Linked DNA regions of Diceros bicornis minor. The protein of the gene in region 2 purifies or fractionates together with the protein of the main gene of each other region. This does not show direct contact. Links are inferred from orthologs where the notes say so. Each region holds a gene or a part of one and is shown on either strand. Other genes may lie near its edges.

Region 1 (11,550 bases), on a different chromosome or scaffold from region 2:
AGATTTTAGCTGAAAACATCTGTTTCTTCTGACTATGCTAGGACCCTGGAAGGAAGAACCCTCAATTACTGAATTATGCTCACCTGCATGAACCGATCAATAATGGAAACAGTCATGTACATGGTCTCCTGCAGTAACCTGAATTTCATTTGAACCTGCACTAGCCAGTCAATTAGGATGGCTCTCATGTTTCCAGTGACTTCACGACCAAGTAGGTATTTTGGTCTGACTGCTTGCTCTTCCTGCAAAAAAAAAAAAAAAAAAAAAGCTGGATTATCCTTAGAAGCAAGACTCCACGTGACATTTCTGACCAAAAATATCAGTCACTACAGAATAGCTGTGGAGCATTTAGAATCTCTAATAGTTCTAAGCTTAATTATTCATATGGTCACTATAAACAGCTCTATCACTGAGGAAGAAAGCCAACATTAAATAGGAAAATGTGACAGGTTTTTCATATTGGCAAATCTATGTTCAATTAACCATCACTGCTACTGGCCCACACGCCGCACTCACTTCTTCCCAAATAAAGATGCCATACTATCATCTCAGATCTTTTCACTTAAGACTCTAAACCCAGAACCTGAGCTTTATGAAGTAGAGAAAATAGCAGCAGCTCCCAGATCAGCTGGAACCTAATGTGTTACCACTCTCCTGCTCCAGGGTTTAAACCCCAAAAACACCACAGATAGAGAAGAATGAACCATCAAGGACCAGCACATACATCTGCTAAGCCCACTCCTCCACAGTTAGAACACAAACTTTAAAAAGGGAGAAGAAACCCAAAGCAGGTCCTGGCAAAGAAGTCTTCTTGCAGGACAATCCTGTAGAAAATGGAGATCCCCAAAAGAACCAGGCAAGAAACTGAAGATGTTAATGATGCCAAGAGAAGAGAATGCATTATAAACCAACAATTGGGTCAATTTAGTAACTGTATAGCTCATGTTGTTAGCATACAGAATGCTTCCTTAGTTTTGGGGGGAAAGGGCAAATGCCACTAATAGAAAGTTTCAGAAGTGGGATGAAATGGAAGAAAATTCCTCTTGGACACAAACAACAATTTCCCTGATATGGCACACCCATCAGCCACATTCACTCAAAATGCCATGTGTTGGGGTTGGCTGTAATTTTTCAGCATCTTCTGCACTACCATCCACCTCCTGCCTGTTAGCCTTCTTAAACCCAATGTTTGGGACTTGCTGGCTCCTAACTGTGATGGATATAAATATATCCTTCAATCTGCGGACTTTCCATTACAAAGAGCCATAGTAGTATCTGCTCTCACTTGGAAATCTCCCTGTTCAAAATGGAAAATAAAGACTTCATTGGTCTGTTTAGCAACTTTTTATGTTTGGTATTCTATGAAGGAGATTTTGAAAGTGAAATCTACTGTTAAGAAATGCTGCTCACGTCATCCTTGAACTATTGTAAACTGTTAATGGAAATATCTTTAATAAAGCTAGGTGCACTTTAGAAAAAACAAAGACTAATAATACTGACCTCAAGTTGTCTCAGATAAGCATAGATATCTTTCACATATTCACTACAAAGGTTTGGATCGGCTCCATCTTCTGCATCCACATCATTCACTGCAAGAATTACATCAGAGAAAGCCTGACACAGATATTCTTCTGCAGGGGCACATCCAGATGTTTCCATTGGGCTTGGAGAGGGAGTATCAACCTTGAAACAGAGAGACCTTCTGAAATAATAGCAAGAGCATCCAATCTGGGCATGAAGGTCAGATTACTGGTACCAACTCAAGAGACCATCTGCTGAACAGACATGTAATTCATTTCCTTAATGGAAAAGGATCTTCTTTTCAAATGTATTCAATTTCTCTTTAGGAAGTGATTAATATGAAAACTGAAATGCCAACTTAGACTGAGCCAATTTGAAGAGAACAGAACCTAAACACTAACAGGTAAAACAGAGAAGCAAATTCATATTCTAGACTTTCCTCCAAAGGAAACTGATAAGTAGTTAATCTGTTTATCAGCAACATGTGAAGTTAATCCAAAGGAATGACAAGTCAGTCTTTAGACTTTCTGTGAAAACATGGACTGCTTCTCACTGCTCAGGAGAACATAAGTTCTACCAAGGATTAACTGACTTCATCACCATTAACCATTTTCTTCAAGCTCCAGTCACCCCATTGTTCAAACATTTATGGAACACTTTCTTCAAGTCAAGCTCTGTGCTAGGCACTGGCTTTATGGTGTCCTCAAGGGGCTTTGAATTTAGAAGAAATAAGTAAATGAAGTAAGGAGACTGATTCTAGGAACAAGGGTGGGGTTGGGGGAAGTTAGGGAGTTTCAGGAATTGATGCTTGAGCTGTTTTGCAGGATGCAAAGGTTATTAGCTAAAAGAGACAGAAGGTGGGAAAGGCATTTTTAATAAGTGGGAAAGCCAAGGCAAGAATCAGTATGGGACTTTCAAGGAAACCTCAGGTGGTTTGGTATGGCCAATTAAAGACTGCATGCTACAGGTTTCATGTGCTATGTCCAGAAGGTCAATACTAAAGCAATAGCCTCAAATCTCCTACCCTCAGATATAAGGAGCTAGGCTGAATGACTTTTACAGATATTTTCCCAAGAAGTTTTAACTAAGTTTTTAAAATTAGAGCTTCAGAATGTAGTTCACTGCAACTTCAGCAAAGTAGCCTCTTTTAGATGGTCTGATTTTCCTTCACAGGAGTAGATATATTTACATACCTGATAGTTAATAAAAAGTTCTTAGTTTTTGAGGCTACACATTAACTCATCTTCTTACCTGTTCTCTGAAGAGCTACACTTTCTTTCTGCTTTACATCTTTATATATTGCAATGTTACAGGCTTATTAATTATTCAGTGGTCATATTAGGGAGAAAAAAAGATTCAAGAGAATAATTTGTGTTTCAGTCAACAAATATTGGACAGTGATGGCTTGTACCAAAGACAGCAAAATCACTGGTCCAGGCAGCTACTACTCAATACCATTAACGAAGGAGGGGCAATAGAACAAAACGATTAAAAGCACAGGTTCTGAGGCCAGACAGCCAGGTTTTGAATCCAATATGTGCCACTGATTAGATGTGTGACCCTTGAAAAGATACTTAATACTTTTCTAAACCACTATCTAAAAAAAGTAGAGGTAATAATACTAGGTAAGAGAGTATAAGATTATGTCAATGCATGTAAGGCCCTTAGCAGAAACTACCTCCTGCTAAGCACTGGATAAATGTTACAATTTTTAGTATTTATTTAAATGCTATTCCATGCATTAGTAAAACGAGGGGCAACAAACAATCAACAGATTCTAAACTGGCACAATAAGTTTACCAAAATAGGCTCGGGAGAATGTTTTTCTTCTTTAACAGGCTCAGGTTCGGGTTCTGGCTCAGGCTCGGGCTCCGGCTCTGGCACAGGCACGGGCGCCTTTTCCAGTGGTTTTGGTAGTTTTTTAGCAATAACTTTTCCAGCAGTTAAAGTTTTTGCTTCCTGTGGATGAAAAGGAGAGAATGGAATGTTCCTCCATCAAGAGTCACAGTTAGAAGGTGGACTCAGGTAAGTTGAATCGGGAGATAGTTACCTTTTTCAGAGGCAGTCTGGCCTGCGGCTGCTCACTCACTTTGTTACCTATGTCTCCAAGAGCTGTTCTTGGCCTCAGCCCGGGCTTGGAGGCTGCAGCAGTTGCCACAGGCACGCGCTTTGCGCCTGCCATACTGACCTTCGCCTTGTTTTCAGTATTAATTTTCGTGTTCTGAAAGAAGCAAGAGCACTTTGAGAGCTGGCCCAGCCAGGTTAGAGTGAGTCAAGGGTTAATTAAGGTGGGACAAGAGAGAGGCTCTCGGAAGGAAAGGCGGCTGCAAATGGGTCCAAGGGAAACCGGGGTCCCAGGGTCTACGCTATGGCTGTGACAAGTTAGTTTCCTCCCAGAACTTCTTCTTTCACCCATCGAGGTTTAGTCCCCGCCGGCCCTAAAATACCACGAATTTACATCTGAAAGAAAACCGAAAAACCTTCAACTGCAGGCACCTTCGTTCCGGGAAGGGGGTTAAGCAATCGGTGGGAGCTCACTCAGGGGCCCTGGTTTCCCGTCAACCCTCCACTTGCCTCCCCAACATTTATCCAAGGCCCGTCCAGTTCTCTTTCTCACCTTCCTCTCTCTGTCCGTACGTCCCCCAAACTCCCCCACCATGCCAGAGGCCCACCGACCCCCCTCCACCTCCCCAGATCGCTGCCTGGGTCCGCTCCTGCCGAGGGCGGGGGGGAGCCTCCGGAAGGCGAGATAGGGCGAGGACACGCAGCGCACCAGTAAGGCCGCGTTTGTTCACCGTCCGCAGCAGCTCACCCTGGTGACCCGGAGCGCCATGGCTTCCTCTTCACCAGGCAGCAGCTCAGTGGGGAGAAGCAGAGCAACGGAGCCCCCGACGAGCCAGGAACCTGAACCCACCACCGACCAACAGCCGTTCCTGCGCAGCACGCCAGGAGGAGCCGGGCCGGCCTCAGGTTTAAACCCCGCGCCGCTCCCTCCTTATTGGGCTGTTCGCGGCACTCGCTCCCTTCCCATTGGCGGCTGCCGGTTCCTGCGAGAATGCGTTTCCATGGAGATCCCGCGAAGTGGTTCGAGAGGGGGCCGGGCCAGAGCGAGGCTGCGGCCCCGGGGAGCCTGGCCAGGCCCTCACGTGGCCTGGCTCTGCGCCTGCGCTCTCGCGCAGCTGCTGCTGGCACCTGGATAGGCGAGTGGTGCGCGTGTGGGCCTCCTGGAGAGGCAAGTTTGTGTGCCCCCCGAGCTAGCCAAGGGGACGGCCTTGTATCTCGGGAAAGTGACAGTGGAGCAGCCGCAGTTTGTGAAAGTGAGAACGTGTTATGGCTCTAGTCCTACTTATTGTTACACACTTTACTACAGAGGAAAGGCTTTTATATATGTACCTTCTTTCGTTTGATCATTCCAACACTCGGGTGGAGGAACTGAAGCTCGGAGAGGCTTTGGGTGGCTTTCCCAAGATCACACATTAGTAACACAGGGACCAAACTTAGGTTTGTTTTTTTTTTCCGGATCTGTGATATTTCCACAACACTAATTGTCTCAAGAATATTGTCAGGTTCTTAACCTGCCAGATTACTTCTCAAATTGTTTACCAAAGCCAATCTTTTTGTTTTAGCTTTTTATTTGAAAATAATTTCGAACTTAGACTTGGTGGTCAGGGATGGTCTGAGAAGGTGACATTTAAATTGAGGCTTAAATGACAAGGAGAACATTTCGGATAGAGGAAGGAGTCTGTGAAAACCCAATGATAGGAATGAGCTTGTCATGTTCAGAAAAGCCAGTGTGGCTTGAATATAGGGCAGAGGGGAGAGTAGAGATGAGATTAAAGAGATTGGAGAGGGTAATATTATATAAGTCCTTGTAGACCAAGCTAAGGGGTCTGGGGTATCATAAGTGCAGTGGAAGCCACGTTCAGGGTTTTAAGCCAAGGTGTGGCATAATCTGTTTTGCAAAAAGATTACCTTAGTCATTGTGGAGAGAATGTGTGTAGGTGGGGAGGTGGAGGGGAAGCAGGAGGAGAGAAGCAAGGGGAGCCATTAAGAGGCTATTGTGGGAGGCCAGGCAAAAGATGATGGCTTGGATGGTACTAGTAGTGCTAGACAGAAAGGGATGGGTTCTGGATATATTTTGGAGGTAGACTTGCTGGATCTTGATGGTTTGCATGCTTGGAGTGAGCGAAAAAGGAATCAAGGATGACTGAAGTTTTGGCTTGAGTAACAAACAGAGAAGACTAAGAGATGAGCAGCTTTTAGGGGGTAGCAGGTTTAGATAGGAAATGATAAATTCTGCTACTTTTGGAATGCTTAGAGATATGCAAGAGGAGAGGTTCACTAGGCAGAGGTCAGGGTGAGAGCTAAAGCCTCCTTTTGCTCTAGATAGTATTTAAACCCTCACACACATGAGGTCATCTAGAGAACTGTAAAGAAGAGTAGATGCCCAGGAGCAACCCCTGGGGCCCTTCATATGTAAAGATTGTACAGAGCAGGAGAAGCCAGTTAAGAAAATTGGGCAAGAACACCAGAGAGGTGGGAGACCAAATAGTGGTGTCTCAGAAAAGGGAAGGCAGTGTTTCACAGAGGGTATAGTGGTTTAACATGGCAGATTGAATATGCACATTTCTCTCTCTCTCTTTTTCCTGAAGACAGTAAAGGGATTTAAAAAAAAACTGCAAAACTCTCAAGGATGGGTGAGGAGACAATACCGACAACATTTTGGAGGCAGGAAAGCACATTGAAGAATCGTAATAGAAGTATCAGACAGCCCAAGAAAGTTGAAATCTAAGCTAGCGGTGGAAAGCCAGGAAGCAAGCTGGTTCATGCAATAGACTCCATCGAGTCTCAGGAATTGGAGGCACCAGGAACCTATGAAATTGGTGTCGGTGGAGCTGGAAAGAGGCTTAGTCGATTCCCTCCTGCACATCTGCGCACAGTGAAAGTGCAGCCTCTTCCTGGTCCTGGCAGATGACTGGAGGTTTATTTTATGTTCTGGAGAGGCCAAACGAAAAGAACTCTGGAGTTCAGATGAAGTAAAATTCTTCATACCAAATGGTGAAACCTCCAGTTCTCTTCGCCCACTCAGTCCCCTAAATGCAGGCAGCTGAATTTATATCCTCCTAAATGAGACAAGAGCATGCTTCTCTGTGGAATGGACCAGCCCAAGAGAAAAGTCTTAAAAATATTGATGGTTAGAGTGTCCAGTGAAAAGGCTGAGTCACTCTTAAAGTGATGCTCAGTACTTGACATGCTTACAGACTGACACAGAGCTTCTAATCAATATTTTAGTGTCTTACTCTTAACTATTAATAGCCATCTAGGGAGCACCAGACATTTGAGGAAATCCTCCAACTTGAAAGAAAAAGACCAAAACAAACAAACATAAAAAGAAACTCCAAGGTAACAGGCAATTCTAAAAGTAGAAAGCTAAGAAATAAAAATAAGTTACCATCTATATCATCAGAGAAATAAAAGATAAGAATGCATCCAGAAGCAAGTTTAACAAAGAGCTCTAGGAGGGGCTGACCCAGTGGCATAGTGGTTAAGTTCGGTGCCCTCCACTTTGGGGGCCTGGGTTCACGGGTTTGGATCCGGGGTGTGGACCTATGCCACTTGTCAAGCCATGCTGTGGAGGCGACCCACATACAAAATGGAGGAGGATTGGCAACAGATGTTAACTCAGGGTGGATGTTCCTCACCAAAAAAAAAAAAAAAAGAGCTTTAGGAAATTAAAAATATGATAGCAAAAATTAAAAATGCAATAGCAAGTTTGGAAGAGAAAGTCAAGGAAATTTCCCAGAAAAAAGGCGAAAAGATGGACTATAGAAAAGATAAGAAAATTAGAGGATCATCCTACAAGGTCTGGTATACAACTAATAGGAGTTCCAGAAAAAAAGACCAGAGAAAATGCAGGGAGGAGATTATTAAAGAAATAATATAAGAAAACTTCCCAGAAGTGAACAACATGAGTTTTCCGAACTGCGTCTGAGTGCCCTGCACAATAAGTGAACAAAAGACTCATCCCATGGCACACTGTGCTGGCATATGACATTAAGAATAATGGGAAGACCCTAAAAGGAAACAAAATCAGCATACAAAGGATCCAGAATCAGAAAGGAATTGGACTTTCAACAGCAATGTTGAAAGCTAGAAGATTCTGAGGGAAAATGATTTTCAGTTTATAATTCTGTACCAAGCCAAACCACGAAACAACCATGAGGTAGAATAAAGGCATTTTCAGATTTACAAAGTCTAAAAAATTATCTCCTGTGTACCCTTTCTTAGGAAGTTATTGGAGTGTGTAGTCTCCCAAAACAAGGATGAAAATGAAAAAAGAGGAAGATGTGGGATCTAAGAAACAGTAGTTCCAACACAGAAGAGGGGCAAAGGAAATTGTCAAGACTTGGATGATCCTAGGCTGGCACCTTTCAGTAGGCATAGAGAGCAGTCAGTGCACGCTGGAGATTGACAGGGATGGTTGGCTCTAAGTGGGACATCGCCAAGCGAAACAATGAAGTTGATAAATTACCTGATGTATTTGAGCGTACTGAGAAGAGATTTACACTTCTGGTAGAGTTGGAGATAAATTAGTGATAGGCATAAAAAAACTAGGCAAATGAAAATAAACAAGGCAGTATTAAATCTGGAGCAAACTAAAAGTTGTTAAAAGAAAAAAGGGAAATGTAATCACAATAGGGTACATAGGGCACTATGGTAAATCATACAGTCACAGTAATGGAAACACTGAATACTGATTTAACCAAAAATTATGATTCAACTGTATTGAGAGAGTGGGGAGAGAGAGGGATATATATGAGTGTACATGTGTGCTGGTGGTGGTATAAAAGAGCTAAACCCTCATCTTCCATTGTAAGAAGTTAGTGGGTAATTTTTAAAACTGTATAACCAAAAAATAGCAGTATAAGGACATTATTGAGAATTATGACTGTAAACAGTGAATCACACAGTTAAAAGAATAGAAAATGGTTCCTTTTGGACAGCAGGAATGGGCTGCTGATCAGAGGTGTGCTGATTTTGTTATAAGATTTAAAGAACTAACTTAAAACTATGCACATATGTAACTGAAAAAAATGAAGTTAAAGATGGGGAGTGGTTGATTGTGTTGACTGAAAATCAGGGACATTCACACTAAAATGGAGATAGAAACAGGAGTTGAAAAAGAAGACCCAGGATATAGAGAAACATCGTGAAATAACTTCTTCAATCATATACACTGACTGTCCCATTTGTAGAGCTGGTATATACTTTAACCTCTTACCTCTGTTCCTTGAATTGTTGATGGTAGCTTTGCTGTTTTTTTTTTTTAGGTTTTAGATGCTACATCTAACAGTCAAGGAGGTTATACCATAAAGAGTAAGTCCTCCTCCACAACCAAAAATGTATTGAAGAGTTCTTGGGTATCCTTGAAGAACGTTCTATGTACACGTAAGAGTACATAGATTTCAAAAGAATCTTTAAATCTTTTTTTTGGTGTGTGAGGAAGATCAGCCCTGAGCTAACATCCTTGCCAATCCTCCTCTTTTTGCTGAGGAAGATTGGCCCTGAGGCCGAAATCCATGCCCATCGTCCTCTACTTTATATGGGACGTGGCCTCAGCATGGCCTGACAAGCGGTGCATTGGTGCGCACCCCGGATCCGAACCCGGGCCGCCAGCAGCGGAGTGTGCGCACTTAACTGCTATGCCAAGGGGCTGGCCCTTAAATCTTTTTTTTTTAAATTGTGAATAAATCAAGTTTATTCAATCAATAAATACTTTTTGAGCTTTAACTATGTTTTACACACTGTGCCTAGGGTTACCTGCTTTTAAGGTGCTCACATTCTTACAGATATGAAGATAAATTATTACAATATGATAACATTAGACAGAGTTCCTTCTCCCATCAGCCCTTTATTTTCTTCCCTTTTTCATCTCTTATGGGCAGGGTGACTTTGGTTAAGAGGACAAAGAACTTCATTAGCATCATAACTATTATAAGGACTTTTTGTTGCAGGTGATAAGAACCCAACTCCAACTGGATTACGTAACAAAGGAAATTTATTTGCTCCCAAAACTGACAAGTCCAAGGAGTACCTAGCTTGAGGCATGGTTGGCTCCAGGTATCAAGCAAAGGAGACTGTCTCTCCATCTCTTGCTGTGCTTTCTTCCTTTTGAAATTTAAGAATCTTTAAATCTTTAGAGGTGTATGTGTGTGGGCGTTGGGACATGCAAATTGGTTTACAGAGGTAAGAGTGTTAAAGAATTAGTACTTGAGAAGATAGTGAAAAACTGTTATATTTAGAATGTGGTCTGTATGTATTTAAATTTTTCTTGAATTGGCTCTCATGCAAAAACGTCTCCTCAGCACTGAGGCTCTATTTATTGTGATTAATTATAGCAGTCTAGCAAGGGGAACTTGGTTACAAAGCCTCATTTTAGTCCTCAAAGGACTTTCAGTTTGCAAAGTTAAGTGATGGCATGAAGATGGAGGCAGATAAAAGGGAAAGAAGAAGAGGAAGTGCAAGTAATAAAAGAGGAGGCCTGAGAGAAAGTGATGGAGAATGAGAGAGGGCTCATGCTAGTCCTGGAAGTTGGAGTAGGATTCTCTTCCACAATCCACTCCCAGGGTTACTCTGCACAATAGGCAGTCTTTGTGTAGTGAGTAGTCTTTCCAGAAGGCTGAGTAGCTTGAGACTCTAAAGACTGGAGCTGAGTAACATGGGGTACAGTACAGAGCAGAAACTTGAAAGCACAATTTAAGTCTTGCCTTGGTGCCCAACTGTACTTTACAGTCAGCTGTTTGGTGGAGTCAGAGGTGGGAGTAGATGAAAAGTGCCGTTGATCATCCAAAAACTCTGTGATGCTCCTAGCTGAGGAACCTGAAACTCAGAGTTTTAGCAGATTTGTCACATAGCCAGGATATGGACAAGTCAAGCTTCAAAATCATAGCTAAATCCACTGATTTTTCCTGATTAACAATGTATGCCCTCTCCTCCGTAAAGGTTTTTTGAATCTCCTAGGAGAAAGAGTTTTCTTCTGCTTCTGAACTCAGAACGATATTACATTTACTTTTCTCCCAGCATGTATCTCTTCATTCTTTTTTACATGTTTTTATATGCTCAGTAACGATTGCCTCCCTGTAAGGGCAGAGGCCATATCAGACCTCTTTGTTTCATCCACTGTTTTATATATATTAGGCATCTGTTGACTAAATAGGTGACTCTAATGGTTCCCTTGGATTAATTTAGGACTATTGCCTTGATTTCATAGGACTGCAAGGGATCATCTCACATTCGTTGGATCCAAAACCCATCATTCTAAGTCAGAGAATAAGCGACTGGCCCTTAGATCACAGCTATGGTGGAGGGTCTTATTCCTAGGCCAGTCAGTGTCCAGCCCACTGGACAATTTGCAGTCTTCCATATTAGGCATTCCTATCCTGCTCCTCTGGAAAATCGAGGCAACTCCACAATGAGAAACTCTACGTGAAGGAAGGCATTTGAAAAGTATCAGTCAGTGTAACTTCACCTGATGCTTTTTCAGGGCTAGACAATTAACCCTCATATGATTACCTAACAGGTCTGTGGTTAACTTGTAACCTGGTATTCAAGTACCCTCAATGCCCTGCTCCTAATCTTCCTTTCTAATTGTAGGCCTACTCATTCCATACCCAAAAGCCACAATTATGCAAAGCTGAACTACTAATGGGATTACACATTTCACTCCAGGTGGAATTAATCCCCTTGCCATCATATTTCCAACCCCACTGGTCCGTTAGGTCTATCAAATGCCACCTCCTCTTCCCTTCAGCTAAAAGTAACCTCTATATTTTGAATTTTGCCACTCCCTTACAGCACCAAATCTCTCTAAATCTTGAATTAGTTATTTACATCTTATCTTCCCTACTGTAATAATTATATTGAAGGCAGCGTTTGTGTCTGATTCATTTTTTACCTTAAACAGCAAACTTACAAATAAGAGGCAATGAATATGTTACCTAGTCCAAGTCCCCGTCCTCTCTCACTTGG
Region 2 (11,946 bases):
ACTGTGGCATTTTAGCAGAAAATGGAAAAGGGGAGAAAATAGATATGGAAATAGAGTAAGAAAGAAGACTGGAAAAGTTGAGCTAATTCATTTAGCTATTTTGGATGCCTACCCTGTGCAAGGCACCCTGCCAGGTGTGAGAGCAAAGTCGGGCCAGGGTGTTCTTGGACTTTTGGATCGACAACCACAAGCTCACCCTCTGAGCTACCATTTCAGTTACTCTGAGATTCCCTGGGACTTGTTGGCCCTGTTCTTTCAAATACTGTCAAGAAGTGTTTTTGTAAGCTTACAACTCATCCCAGGGTCAGCACAAAGAAGCAAGGAAGGCCTGGGCAGACCTTTCCAGATGAACTACTCATGGATACAATAACTACTATCTGAGCAACTCCTACCTGCCAGGAAGGATTTGAAATGCTTTATCTACATTATCTTATTTAACTCCCATAACAGCCCTACAAGGTACTGCTACTCCTATTTTACAAATAAAGAAACAAAGAAGCCTAAAAAAAGAAATAACTTGCCAAGATCACATAGCTAGTCAGCAGTAGGATCCAAACGCAAGTTTCTCTGACTCCAAAGACCATCATGACTTTGGTGAAGGTTTAGAAAGCAGCCCAGCCACTTCTCTGTGAGCCACTGACACTTGTGGGCTTTTCCTCTGCCCTAGGTTAGTATATTGATGCCACACTCACGTTTTCCTTGTTGTCATCCTGGTCGATCAGCTGAAAGACATCATGATCAAGAGAATCGGAATGGCTCCTCTTCAGCGCTGGGCTACACCCCAAGAGCTTCTGCTATCAAAGTGAAAAAAGGAATTAGGGTACATAAACAAAAGTTCAATGGAAACTCAGTTCTCTAAAGGAAAACAACAAGAAAAAAAAGATGGTGGGGGGGGGGACTAGCTCCTCACACACTGCAGCAGGTAACCAGTAAATGTGCCAGGGCTCCACCTTGCCAGAACACAGTTCTCACCACATGGCTTTACGCCTAACCTCACAACATCTACAGCCCTCTCAACAGGGATTTAGGGTGTCAAATCAACCCCAAAATAACATCATTTGCACAGAAAGAACCCCTCCTGGTTTGACAAAACTGTGTTAGAGATGGAGCAAAAGCCCTCAAGAGGCAGCCATTATTGAAGTTGCTTTAGGTACAGTGTTTTGACTGCTTACAAGGCTAGGTTTTCCTTAATCTTCACTGTCTAAATTACAGTCTACTATCAAGGTCACAGTGGTAGGTAAGGGGTAGATAATAGGTATTAGCTCAAAACAAAAAAGGGAACTAACTTACAGGCAGGGAATTTATTCTCTTCATGGGATTTTCAAGGCTGCAATGAGATCAGAAGGTAAATAATGAGAATGAAACAAATAAAGAGGTTTTCACATTAGCAGATGCATAGTGTCTAACCTATACTTTGTGGGGGTAGGGGAGACAAATATATTCCCATTTTAGGCAAGATGAAAAAACAGATTTTTGAAGCTGTCCTGTTCTCACGAGCACCCCCAACGCTGGGCTTCTAGGCGAAAAAGGCAAGCCCAGGTCTTCTCTTAAAATACGCTCATTTTTGCGGCCGGCTGGGTGGCGCGAGCGGTTAAGTGCGAGCACTCCGCTGCAGCGGCCCGGGGTTCATGGGTTCGGATCCCGGGCGCGCACCGACGCACCGCTTGGCAAACCATGCTGTGGCAGTGTCCCATATAAAGTGGACGAAGATGGGCATGGATGTTAGCCCAGGGCCAGTCTTCCTAAGCAAAAAAAAAAAAAAAAGGAGGATTGGCAGATGTTAGCACAGGGCTGATCTTCCTCACACACACACAAAAAAATACGCTCATTTTAAGGCTATGATGTCAGAAGGTGGAGCAAGGGTTTGGGTGAGACTGAAAAAGAACACCAAAATTAAAGCTAAAATAAAGAAAGAGAAGTTCTCAAAACTGCTGACACAAACTACCCATTCTCAAAAGGTACCAGACTGTTTATAGGATATAGATCCAGGAGGCTTACTAGGGACAGCTAAATCTAGAGTTCCAGTCCAGAGCATGAAGAATTTCATTAAAAAATTAAGAAACATTTTTTTCTATAATGTACAACAAAAATTTCACAATAAATAAAAAAAATGGATAAGAGGTAACTTCTCTACACACTTTGTGTTATGAAATAAATGTCATGGAAATGTAAAAAAAAAATTAAGAAATGTTTTTTCTAAGCACAAACATTTAAAAGCAGTGAATATATACTTTTCTTTACTGTCCAAGGGTCCAGGAGAATCCAGACAGAAGCCTGTGGGAAATTAAAAAAATCTCTCAAGAAATAATACATGAAACACCATCTTGTTATTAAAATAAACAAATAAATAAAACTACTAGTACTGTTTCTTTAAGCCAGTCAACAGAAACTTATGGCTTGGACTTTTGCCAGAATTGAAGCTGTATCTCTACTTGATTGTCAAAAACTTTATATTTGCCCAAGTCTTAATATTTTCATAGTATATCTACTAATCCCCCTTTCCTTGCAAATACCATCAAGAGTGTGAATTAATTAATTAATTTTTTTCTCCCAAAGCCCCAGTAGACAGTTGTATGTCATAGCTGCACATCCTTCTAGTTGCTGTATGTGGGACGCAGCCTCAGCATGGCTGGAGAAGCAGTGTGTCTGTACGCGCCCAGGATCCGAACCCAGGCCGCCAGCAGCGGAGCGCGCGCACTTAACCACTAAGCCACGGGGCCGGCCCTCAAGAGTGTGAATTAAACCAAACCTTCTCATGATTGCTTGGTTATTCAGCTAGAGGTTACCCAGGTAACTTTCTAAATGTGAGTTCCAACCATGGAAAGAATAGGTACCAGTTTTCTGGAATAGTTTTGATTTCAAGTATTTTATTTTGTCTGATCATATGCACAATGTTGGGGTTTGGAAAATACAATTATGTCATCTGACAAGCAAGGCAAGTATTTATTGACTTCAACAAAATAACACCAAGTGAGGTGACCATCTCACCAAAGGCAGCAGGGTGGAGACACTGCTCAGCGTGGCCCAGACCCACCAGTGCCTGCCTAGCACATACCTTTCCTCCATGATGTCTATATAACCTTACAGGAAGTTAGGTGTTAGCTCCTGACTGGTATTCTCCCTTGCCACACTGCCACAAATGAGAATCCTATCCCTAGTTCTTATGCCTACATTTGAAGACTTGCTCTTGCAGTTTCCTAACCTAAAGCATATGTGCAAATACAGATAAACTCTGCAGTAACATGAATTTATAAATTAGAATAAAATGCACTGGCAAATTTCCTCCACAGCAGGCAGGCTCACTGAAATAATTTCATTATATTTCAGATGCCAACAATTTGACCCTGTATTTTAACCAATGAGATTTTTGGAATGCCACTTACAGTGGTATGGTTAATTTTACCCTACTACGCATCCTCAAGACCAAACACACACCACCTTCTAGCAGACACTTGTTTCTTCTCTTCATAAACTGCCACTGGGACTCCTTTGTACTATTCTTAAGGGTATTAGTCACTCAATGCCATGACTTCTCTGTTTATTGTCTCAACTACTCACCAAACTAAGTTCTTAGGTGAAGGGGCATGTTTCAGCAAATTCCAAGTATTGCTCCCACAAAGCAGACACATGATAAATATCGAAGACCAAAGGAATACCTGAATCGGTTGACTCGGAGGAACCCATTCTCTGCAAACTGCTGTTTTTCACCTCCAGTAGCTGTTCACACTCACTGAAACCAAGAGAAATAATTCTCTCTATATATTTCTAGGACATAATTAAAAGGTTACACACAGGAGACAGGCCATGAGGTTAGCTAGTAGGCAGGCTGCCATCAATCATCATAACTTCCAGGCCACACCACAGAACACTTTGCCACCCAGAACCGCCAGTTAGCACTAGAGCATAAAGGGAGATGAGAAAGGAGTGGGTGGGCATGGCCTGGGTCACATTGTAGGACAGGATGACTATGATGATTGTTGGAGTATTTCCTGAAATGAGAGCATGTGTTCTAGGTACTGTGCTAGGAGCTGGGATGAAAGATGAATAGGACAAATTCCTGCTTTCCAGAGGTTGGAAAACGTATAAGTCACGTGCTTACTTAGAAAATGGGATGTCCAAGATTGAAGGGAAAACAGCTTCACCAGAAACACTGTAGGATGCATTTGTTGCTACAAGGAAAAGTTTAGGGAGCTTTTGAGAACGGAAAGTTGAGTAAAAAGGCCTGGCCTTATTACGGAAACCACCGGGGTGGACATAAGGAATGTGCACGGGGCGAGAGACTGCGACGATTTTGCGCAAACGCCAGGAAAGAAAATGCCACTTCTCTTTGTTGAGAAGGAACAAAGCTCACAGGAAACTACGATCCTGTGAGGTGGTTCAGCAAAGGGTGGAAGTGAGCGCCTAGAAGGGCCTGCTTTTCCCCCGTGGGGCTAGATGTCAAAGAGCTTCCTGGGATAGGGACAGAAGAGTACAGGGCAATCCGAAAGAGGTGGCGAAGGTGGGGAGCCGTGGCCGTTCTCACCCACTACCGGGCCTGGCTTGGGGATTGAGGGCGGTCTTGGAGGATCCGAACGGCCTCTCCCGCCCAACATTCCGCCTATGGGGAGGGTGCACATGGTGAGCCCCCGCCTCATGCGGGCGGCAGGTCTCGCCCCTCTCCTGGCCCATTTCCCGGCCTGATCTCCCCGAGAGCCGTCTGGGAGGCCAGCGGCCTGCGGCACTGCTCGCCGGTCCCTCCTCACCTGCCCAACCCCTGCAGCTGGTCCATGGTGACCGTCAGGTTGGTGACAGGCGACAGGCCCCCGGCGGCTGGCGCGCCGAACAGCGCCTTTGCGACGGGCTGCGGCGCGGGAGGGGGGCTGCAGGCGAAGAGCAGGCGGCGGCGATGCGGGGGCTCCGGGCCCAGTTCCATGGCGGCACCCAGCCTCCCAAGGCTCCCGCTCCCTCTTCCTCCGCCTCCGCCGCGCCCGCCCCGCCCCGCCGGCACTGGCCTCGGCCGCGCGCCCCTTAGCCGGCGCCCGCGGGTCAAACACAAACACGATGTCGCGGTTCAGGGACGCGGCTGCCGCGGGCAAGCGGCGCGGACGGGCGAGTGTCCGGACCAGGTAGGCGCCAGCCACACGCACGGGTGCTCCCCTCTCACCCCGCGAGGCCAGCGGCGGGCGGGCGCCGGCAACCTGAAGATTAAATCCAAACAAACGCGGAGGGTCAGGAAGGGAGAGCGGCCAGAGCCGCGAGTCAACCGCCTGGGCTCACACTCTGCTCGCTTTTCTCTCACCCCCTTGCCCAGCCCGAGGTTGCAGAGAACCAAGCCGACCTTCACCTCCTTCTGGCTGTCGCTGCCAAGGTGGCCTTTCGCGGTAATAGCTGCTCACTGGGGACCGCCACTACCCCGCCCCCTTTCCTAGTTGGCGCCAAACGGAATCCACCAATCAGTAAGTAACTTCTCCTCCTCGCACCCGAATGGCAGCTAGACTGGACCAATGAGAGGGGAAGAAGGAAGCAGCTCGCGGGACTCCGCGAGGTCACCAGCTCTCAGAAAGGGGCGGGGCCTAGAGGAGACCTGAGCTGCTCGGAACGAGAAGGAGCTCAGAGGTCAATGAAAACTCCCGGCAGAACCTGCGAGGCTCCGGCCTGACCGGAAGGCGCCTCTTCACCCGTTGCATGCTGGGAAGCGTAGTTTGCACGTCACGCAGCGGTCAGGTGACCTCCAACCCGCGTTGGGCCGGGGAGTCCCGAGTCCCATAGGCTGAGGGAGTGTGGAAGATGGAGAAGGTTGTGCTAGCCACTGGGGACCCGGCTGGACCCAGCCGTGACTCGACTTATAACCGTGCAGTAGTGTGGACCCCTCTCTTACGCCTTGGGCCTCTCAGCCGCGGTTTTATAACGAGGGAGGGAACTGAATGACCCGAGGACTGGGCTCTGCCTCCCGACAGCAGGGCCCAAGTTCCGGGCGCTAACACTCCTGTCCACCGCTTCTGTCCAGCGGGCCATCAAAGATCCTGCAGGCTGTGGCGACCACAAGCCGCTGACGGCAAGACTTGACCCTACAATCCGGCCTGGGCCGTGGGCCTCAGTAATCTTAGCGCACTTCCATTTTAGCTCCTATTATATTTTCTCAGAATCATTTCCTTCTCTGCCACCCTTTGGTACCCCACTGGTTGCTCCTATTTAGCAGTACCATAAATATAATAATAGCTAACGCTTATATAGTGCTTATGTGCCACTGTTCCAAGTGCTTTATCTGTCTTAATTCATTGAATCCTTACAACAACACTGAGCGGAATTATTCCCGTTTTATAGGTGACTGTATTTATTTTTATATCCCCTGCTCCAGTGGCAGCTCCTAGAATAAATGATTTTAGTAGAGGGGCATTGGTACAGCAATCAGGCTGCAAGAGGACTTGTCTTTAGACAGCATGTTTAGAACAGACACTCTGCTTATTTAGATTGTATATTTCTTTATTTATTTGAGGAAGATTGGCCTTGTGCTAACATCTGTTGCCAGTCTTCCTCTTTTTCTTTTTTCTCGCCAAGGCCCCAGTACGTAGTTGTATATCATAGTTGTAGAGTTGTAGCTCTTCTATGTGGGATTCTGCCTCAGCATGGCTTGATGAGTGGTGAGTAGGTCTGTCCCCAGGATCCAAACCAGTGAACCCCAGGCCGCCGAAGGGGAGTGTGTGAACTTAACCTCTCTACCGCTGGGCTGGCCTCCAAATTGTATATTTATTTTAGGTGTTTGGTAGAGATTATGACTACTACCTCTGCGTAAGACCTACCATTAAACTTATTAAATATTTGTTTGAAAAGCTTTTGTTTTCAAAGGTTTGTATTATGCAAATAATACAAAATAATTATAGCCTTAGGAAATACGGATAAGCGTAATTTTAAAAATCATCTGTAATTCTACCATCTTCAGAGAAACAATTGTCAACATTTTGAACTTTTTGTATGTGTGTGCACTGTAAGTATACAGTCAATAATTGTTTCACGGTCAAATAAAGGAATGGAAAGCCCTCCCTCCTTGCTGGACATTCCCTGAATGGGATCAGCCCAAGTGGATTAACATACTGGAGTATTTCCACCAGCAAGTCCAAGTATTGAAATAAAAACTTGGTGTAAGAAATGTCAGAGAACCATTGTTTTTTTTTCCTTCTTAAAGGTTGACTGAGGGCCGGCCCCGTGGCTTAGCGGTTAAGTGCGCACGCTCCGCTACTGGCGGCCCGGGTTCGGATCCCGGGCGCGCACTGACGCACTGCTTCTCCGGCCGTGCTGAGGCCGCGTCCCACATACAGCAACTAGAAGGATGTGCAGCTATGACATACAACTATCTACTGGGGCTTTGGGGGGAGTTGAAAGGAGGATTGGCAATAGATGTTAGCTCAGAGCCGGTCTTCCTCAGCAAACAAAAAAAAACAAAAAACGAGGATTAGCATGGATGTTAGCTCAGGGCTGATCTTCCTCACACAGACACACAAAAATAAAGGTTGACTGAAGTGTTGAGGGTGATTTTTATGTTTGGGCATCTTCAATTGTGAAATGGAAGCAAAAGGAAAAGCGTAATTTAACCAAACTCTTTTCCTCATTCACTTAGGCATGGTCTCCAAAATCCTGGAGCAGCACTAGGGGAAGGGAAGAGCCCTGCACTGTGAATTGGAAGGTCTGAGTTCTAATCTGGTTCTACTTTGGGGCAAATAAATTTTTGCTCACTCCTTCATTCATTGTCTACTGAGAGCCTACCAGTTTGCTAGGTCCAAACAGATAGGGTCAGTGCTTCCTTGGAGATTTGCCTGGAATGCCCTCCTCACTGCCATACTCACTTCACTCAGCTAACACCCACCTTTCCCAGGTAAGCTTTACCCTCAGACACCCTGGCTGATACATTCCCCTGTTATCATCCACCTTCCAGGCACTGCATGTTTACATTTGTTTCTGTGAGTATTTAATCAGGGTGAGTACCCCCAAATGACTATAAACTTGAAAGGGTAGGGACCTGCCTTTCTTTTCCTTACTATAGTACCACCCACTACCTGGTTCAGGGGACCCCTCAGTACATGTAGACAGAATACATGCTGCAAAGAAAAAGTGTGAATGCTTTAAGAGTGTTTAAGAAGGGAATCTGATCTGGTCTGGTACATCAGGGAATCCCTGAGGAGGTGTCCAGAAGGATAAATCCTTAGAAAGTGGAAGAAAGAGTGTTCTGGGCAGAGGGACAGGCCCTAAGCAAAGGCTCTGAGGCTAGAAGGCGTCCCCTGTGTGTGGCAGAGAACAGTGGAAGAAGAGGAGGTTGGGGAGGGCCCAGACTCTGCAGGGGCTGTAGAAAACATTCTGGAACTTGGACTTTATCTCAAGGGCAATGGGAAACAATTGAAAGGTTTACATTTACATTTTGAAAAGATAACCCTGGCTGCAGAGTGGAGAACTGATTAGAGAGCAGCAATGGTAGAGCTGGGGAGACCAGTTTGGAGGGGATCACAAGGTCCTACCGTGAGATGGTGGTAACTTGAACTAGGGAGGAGATGATGCAGAGGGGGAGAAGTAGGCCTCAGTTTCTACCTGTGAGTGGTGAGAGAGGTGGAATACAACTGTGTCTCTCAAGCAGTGAGGTACCCCAGCAGGGCTCCTGGCTCCTCCCTGCCACTCCTTGGGAGCCACAGAAACTCAGCTTTTAAATTTGCATTATATATCACAGGGCCCTGTAGATTTTATTTGGAGAAAGTATTCCCCTTGTTAAAGACAAAAGTAAATTGGGGCCCGCCCGGTGGTGCAAGCGGTTAAGTGCACGCGCTCCGCTGCAGTGGCCCGGAGTTCGCTGGTTAGGATCCTGGGCGCGCACCGATGCACCGCTTGGCAAGCCATGCTGTGGCGGCCTCCCATATAAAGTGGAGGAAGATGGGCATGGATGTTAGCCCAGGGCCAGTCTTCCTCAGCAAATAAGAAGAGGATTGGCAGATGTTAGTTCAGGGCTGATCTTCCTCACACACACAAAAAAAGTAAAAAACAACAAAAAAAATTTCCCATCAATTTATTAGGCTTATTTTCTGTAGAAAAAGAAACATTCCTTTTCCATTCAATGGTTTACATGTGCCCATTCTCCTTTCACACAACTGTGCTAGTAGTAGGATTGGATTTATTCTGCATGGTTACAGGAAGCAGCATGAGCCTCCTTGGAGGCTACAAGGTTTCAGTTTAACACTAAGAAGGAAAGCCAGAACTACCAGAGCTTTTCAAGATGGAATAAATAGCCCAGGAAGCTATATAACCAGTGTCTTAGGTACTGTCGAGGTAAGGAGGAGTACCTGGAATCAGAGGTTCCCAAATTCTGGTTCTACATTGCAAACATCTGGGGAGCTTTGACTTTTATTTATTTATTTATTTATCGAGTAGGCAGTCCATTTACATGGTACAAATTTAAATAATAACAAAAAAACGCATGGAGGAAATCTTGCTCCTATCTCGGTCCGAAGCTACCCTGTTTTCCTCCTTGGTGGTCTCCTAGAGTGTGTCTATGCTAACAAGTCTATGTACATATTCTCTCAAACAAACTTTTTCTTTTTTTTTTTTTGTGAGGAAGATCAGCCCTGAGCTAACATTCATGCCAATCCTCCTCTTTTTGCTGAGGAAGACTGGCCCTGGGCTAACATCTGTGCCCATCTTCCTCCACTTTATATGGGACACCGCCACAGCATGGCCGGACAAGCGGTGCGTCCCTGTGCGCCTGGGATCCGAACCTGGGCCCCCAGTAGTGGAACGCGTGCACGTAACTGCTAAGCCATGGTGCTGGCCCCTGTATGACTTTTAAGGCCATTGAAGACCAGAGATCGCAGACATTATTCTAATACATAATTTGTATTTGAAATGGATTGTGCTGAGTAGGATGGTATTCTGAGCACAGGTAAGTCCTGTCTCGTGGCTAAATGTTTGCTCTGGGATGATGAACTTTTCTAGCAGAAGCCCCCCCATTCTTTCACGAGTGCTTCCTGAACAGTTTCACCCACTCCCAGTACTTCTTCAGCCTCCTCCCTTATCCCACAGAACTCCCAAGTCCGTATCTCAACTGGAAGCTCTGTCCTGAATTCCAGCCCCTTGACTGAATTCACCAAGTATGACCTACTGGCAACTCAAACTCTCCTTGCCTCAAGTCCACTTCTCTGTTTACTTCCAAACCTGCTACCCTCCCTAGTGCCCTTGGCAGGAAATGGCACCTCTGTCTACCCATTCTTCCTCCCTGCTGCTGCCCTGATTTAGCTGGCCTCCCAAGCCTTGACCCCAAATGATCTTTCTAAATGCAAATCTGATTTCCTCCTCCCACCCACTGATGAAATCCCTTCCTGTACCCACCCCATTGCTTAAAGCAGGGGATCCCATACATTTTGGACCCATGACTCAGAATACACATATAAAAAGTTTTCAATACGTCATTTACTCATACTACATACAATACATTATTTTCTACTTTATTTTATGTCACTTAAAAAATCCTGGCTAAGAACCCCTAAAATTAATGTTATGATGGCCTGTGACCTACAGTTTGAAAGGCAACAGCTGACAGGCTTCATTGAATCCCAAAACCTTTGGCTCAGAACACCAGATCCTTTACAGTGAGGCACCCTCCTCTCCTGCTTCCTCTCCTTTTTCCCTCATAAGCACTCCAGCACCAGCCATGACCCCCTGTCTCTCTAGAAACCCCTGCTATTTAGGCCTCTGTGCTGTCACAGTTCCATGGTCTGTGGTTCCCTCTCTGCCCAGTCAACTATGTTGTTGGGGCCCAGGGCAGGCTGCCCCAAAATATCCCACAATGGCATGTTGATTATTTTGAATTAAAGTTACTTGAGAAGCAGCCAATGCAAAAAAAAAAAAAGGAAGCATTTTGACCCTCCTCTCTCTTTTCCCTCTGAAAGCAGGAACTAAATCTCCCATGTGAAAGGTACCCTCCCCAGACCAGGAGGCAGAGACATCCTTATCACCAGAGCTAGGGAATTCAGGGCCATAAAGCCTATATAAACAAACCCTGTTACTTTTACTATTTTACTACCTCAAGCCTAAACTCTACTCAAATTCCTCACTAATTATGTACCCCAAACCTAAGTTTATTTGTCCTGTCATTCCTCACAAATTTATTGTTTCTTTGTGCAAAAGATGTATATATATATTGCCTGCTTTGTTTACTCTCTGAGCATTTCTCTATGATCTCCAACATGTACACATTAAATTGTATTTTTCTCCTATCAATCTGTTTTTATATCAATTTTATTATTAGTCCAGCTGTAAGAACACAAGAAGGATAGAAGGGGGAATTTTACCCTCCCTGACAATTTCAAATATTTTCTTCATTAAATCTCTGAAAAATTTCTTCCCTCTCCTCCTGTTTTATGTAGTTTAATACTTGGCTCAACATCCCTGTTCTTGCATGCAATCATTCAACAAATGTTTATTCATTGCTTACTGGGACAAACCTAGCACTTGAAATAAAACGCCACAATTCCTACCCTCAGGGGGCTCACATTTGACGAATGCAATCTCTCAGAATGATCCTTATAGTAATGGAACCATCACCAGGATAATGGCTGCCATTTGTGGAGGGTTGGTGGGACCTGGAGGAGGGCAGGAGATGGAGATGGGGAAGGCTGGAGGGGAGGGAGAGGGAGGACTTCCCAAAGGAGATTAAAGCTGCTGAAGCTTGAAGGTGTAGCTCACTGGAAAAGGGGAATTTGGGGTGGGGTGAAGTGGGGGTGCTTTCTAAGGAGAGGAAAGAGCCCTCAGAAGCTAAGAGGTGAGAACAGCACTTTCTGGGAACTACTTCTAGAATAGGCACATGGGAGTTGTTGTGAGAGACCCAAGTGTGAGGAAGGGGACAGTTGTTGAAGGACTTAGAGCTTGCTGAGGGTTTGGCCTCATTCTGTGGACAGTGGAGGGTGTGGAGTATGGTTGATAATAGGATCAGAA

The links.
Region 1: the proteins of CDC25A (region 2) and CCNB1 purify together in Homo sapiens (affinity purification with mass spectrometry; 3 studies listed by BioGRID, with this or other methods). This does not show direct contact. The link is inferred for Diceros bicornis minor from reciprocal best matches to the Homo sapiens genes CDC25A and CCNB1.

Annotation. Positions count from the first base shown.
Region 1 is NC_080759.1:8,348,243-8,359,792, forward strand, and holds the start of CCNB1 (G2/mitotic-specific cyclin-B1), read right to left. Parts: upstream 4,467-11,550; 5' UTR 4,355-4,466; coding exon 4,334-4,354; exon of another isoform or gene 4,295-4,333; intron 3,743-4,294; coding exon 3,572-3,742; intron 3,481-3,571; coding exon 3,322-3,480; intron 1,684-3,321; coding exon 1,501-1,683; intron 243-1,500; coding exon 84-242; intron 1-83. UniProt on the Homo sapiens protein: Essential for the control of the cell cycle at the G2/M (mitosis) transition.
Region 2 is NC_080741.1:49,425,678-49,437,623, forward strand, and holds the start of CDC25A (M-phase inducer phosphatase 1), read right to left. Parts: upstream 5,360-11,946; 5' UTR 4,913-5,359; coding exon 4,743-4,912; intron 3,731-4,742; coding exon 3,657-3,730; intron 2,275-3,656; coding exon 2,232-2,274; intron 1,328-2,231; coding exon 1,291-1,327; intron 795-1,290; coding exon 693-794; intron 1-692. UniProt on the Homo sapiens protein: Tyrosine protein phosphatase which functions as a dosage-dependent inducer of mitotic progression. Directly dephosphorylates CDK1 and stimulates its kinase activity. Also dephosphorylates CDK2 in complex with cyclin-E, in vitro.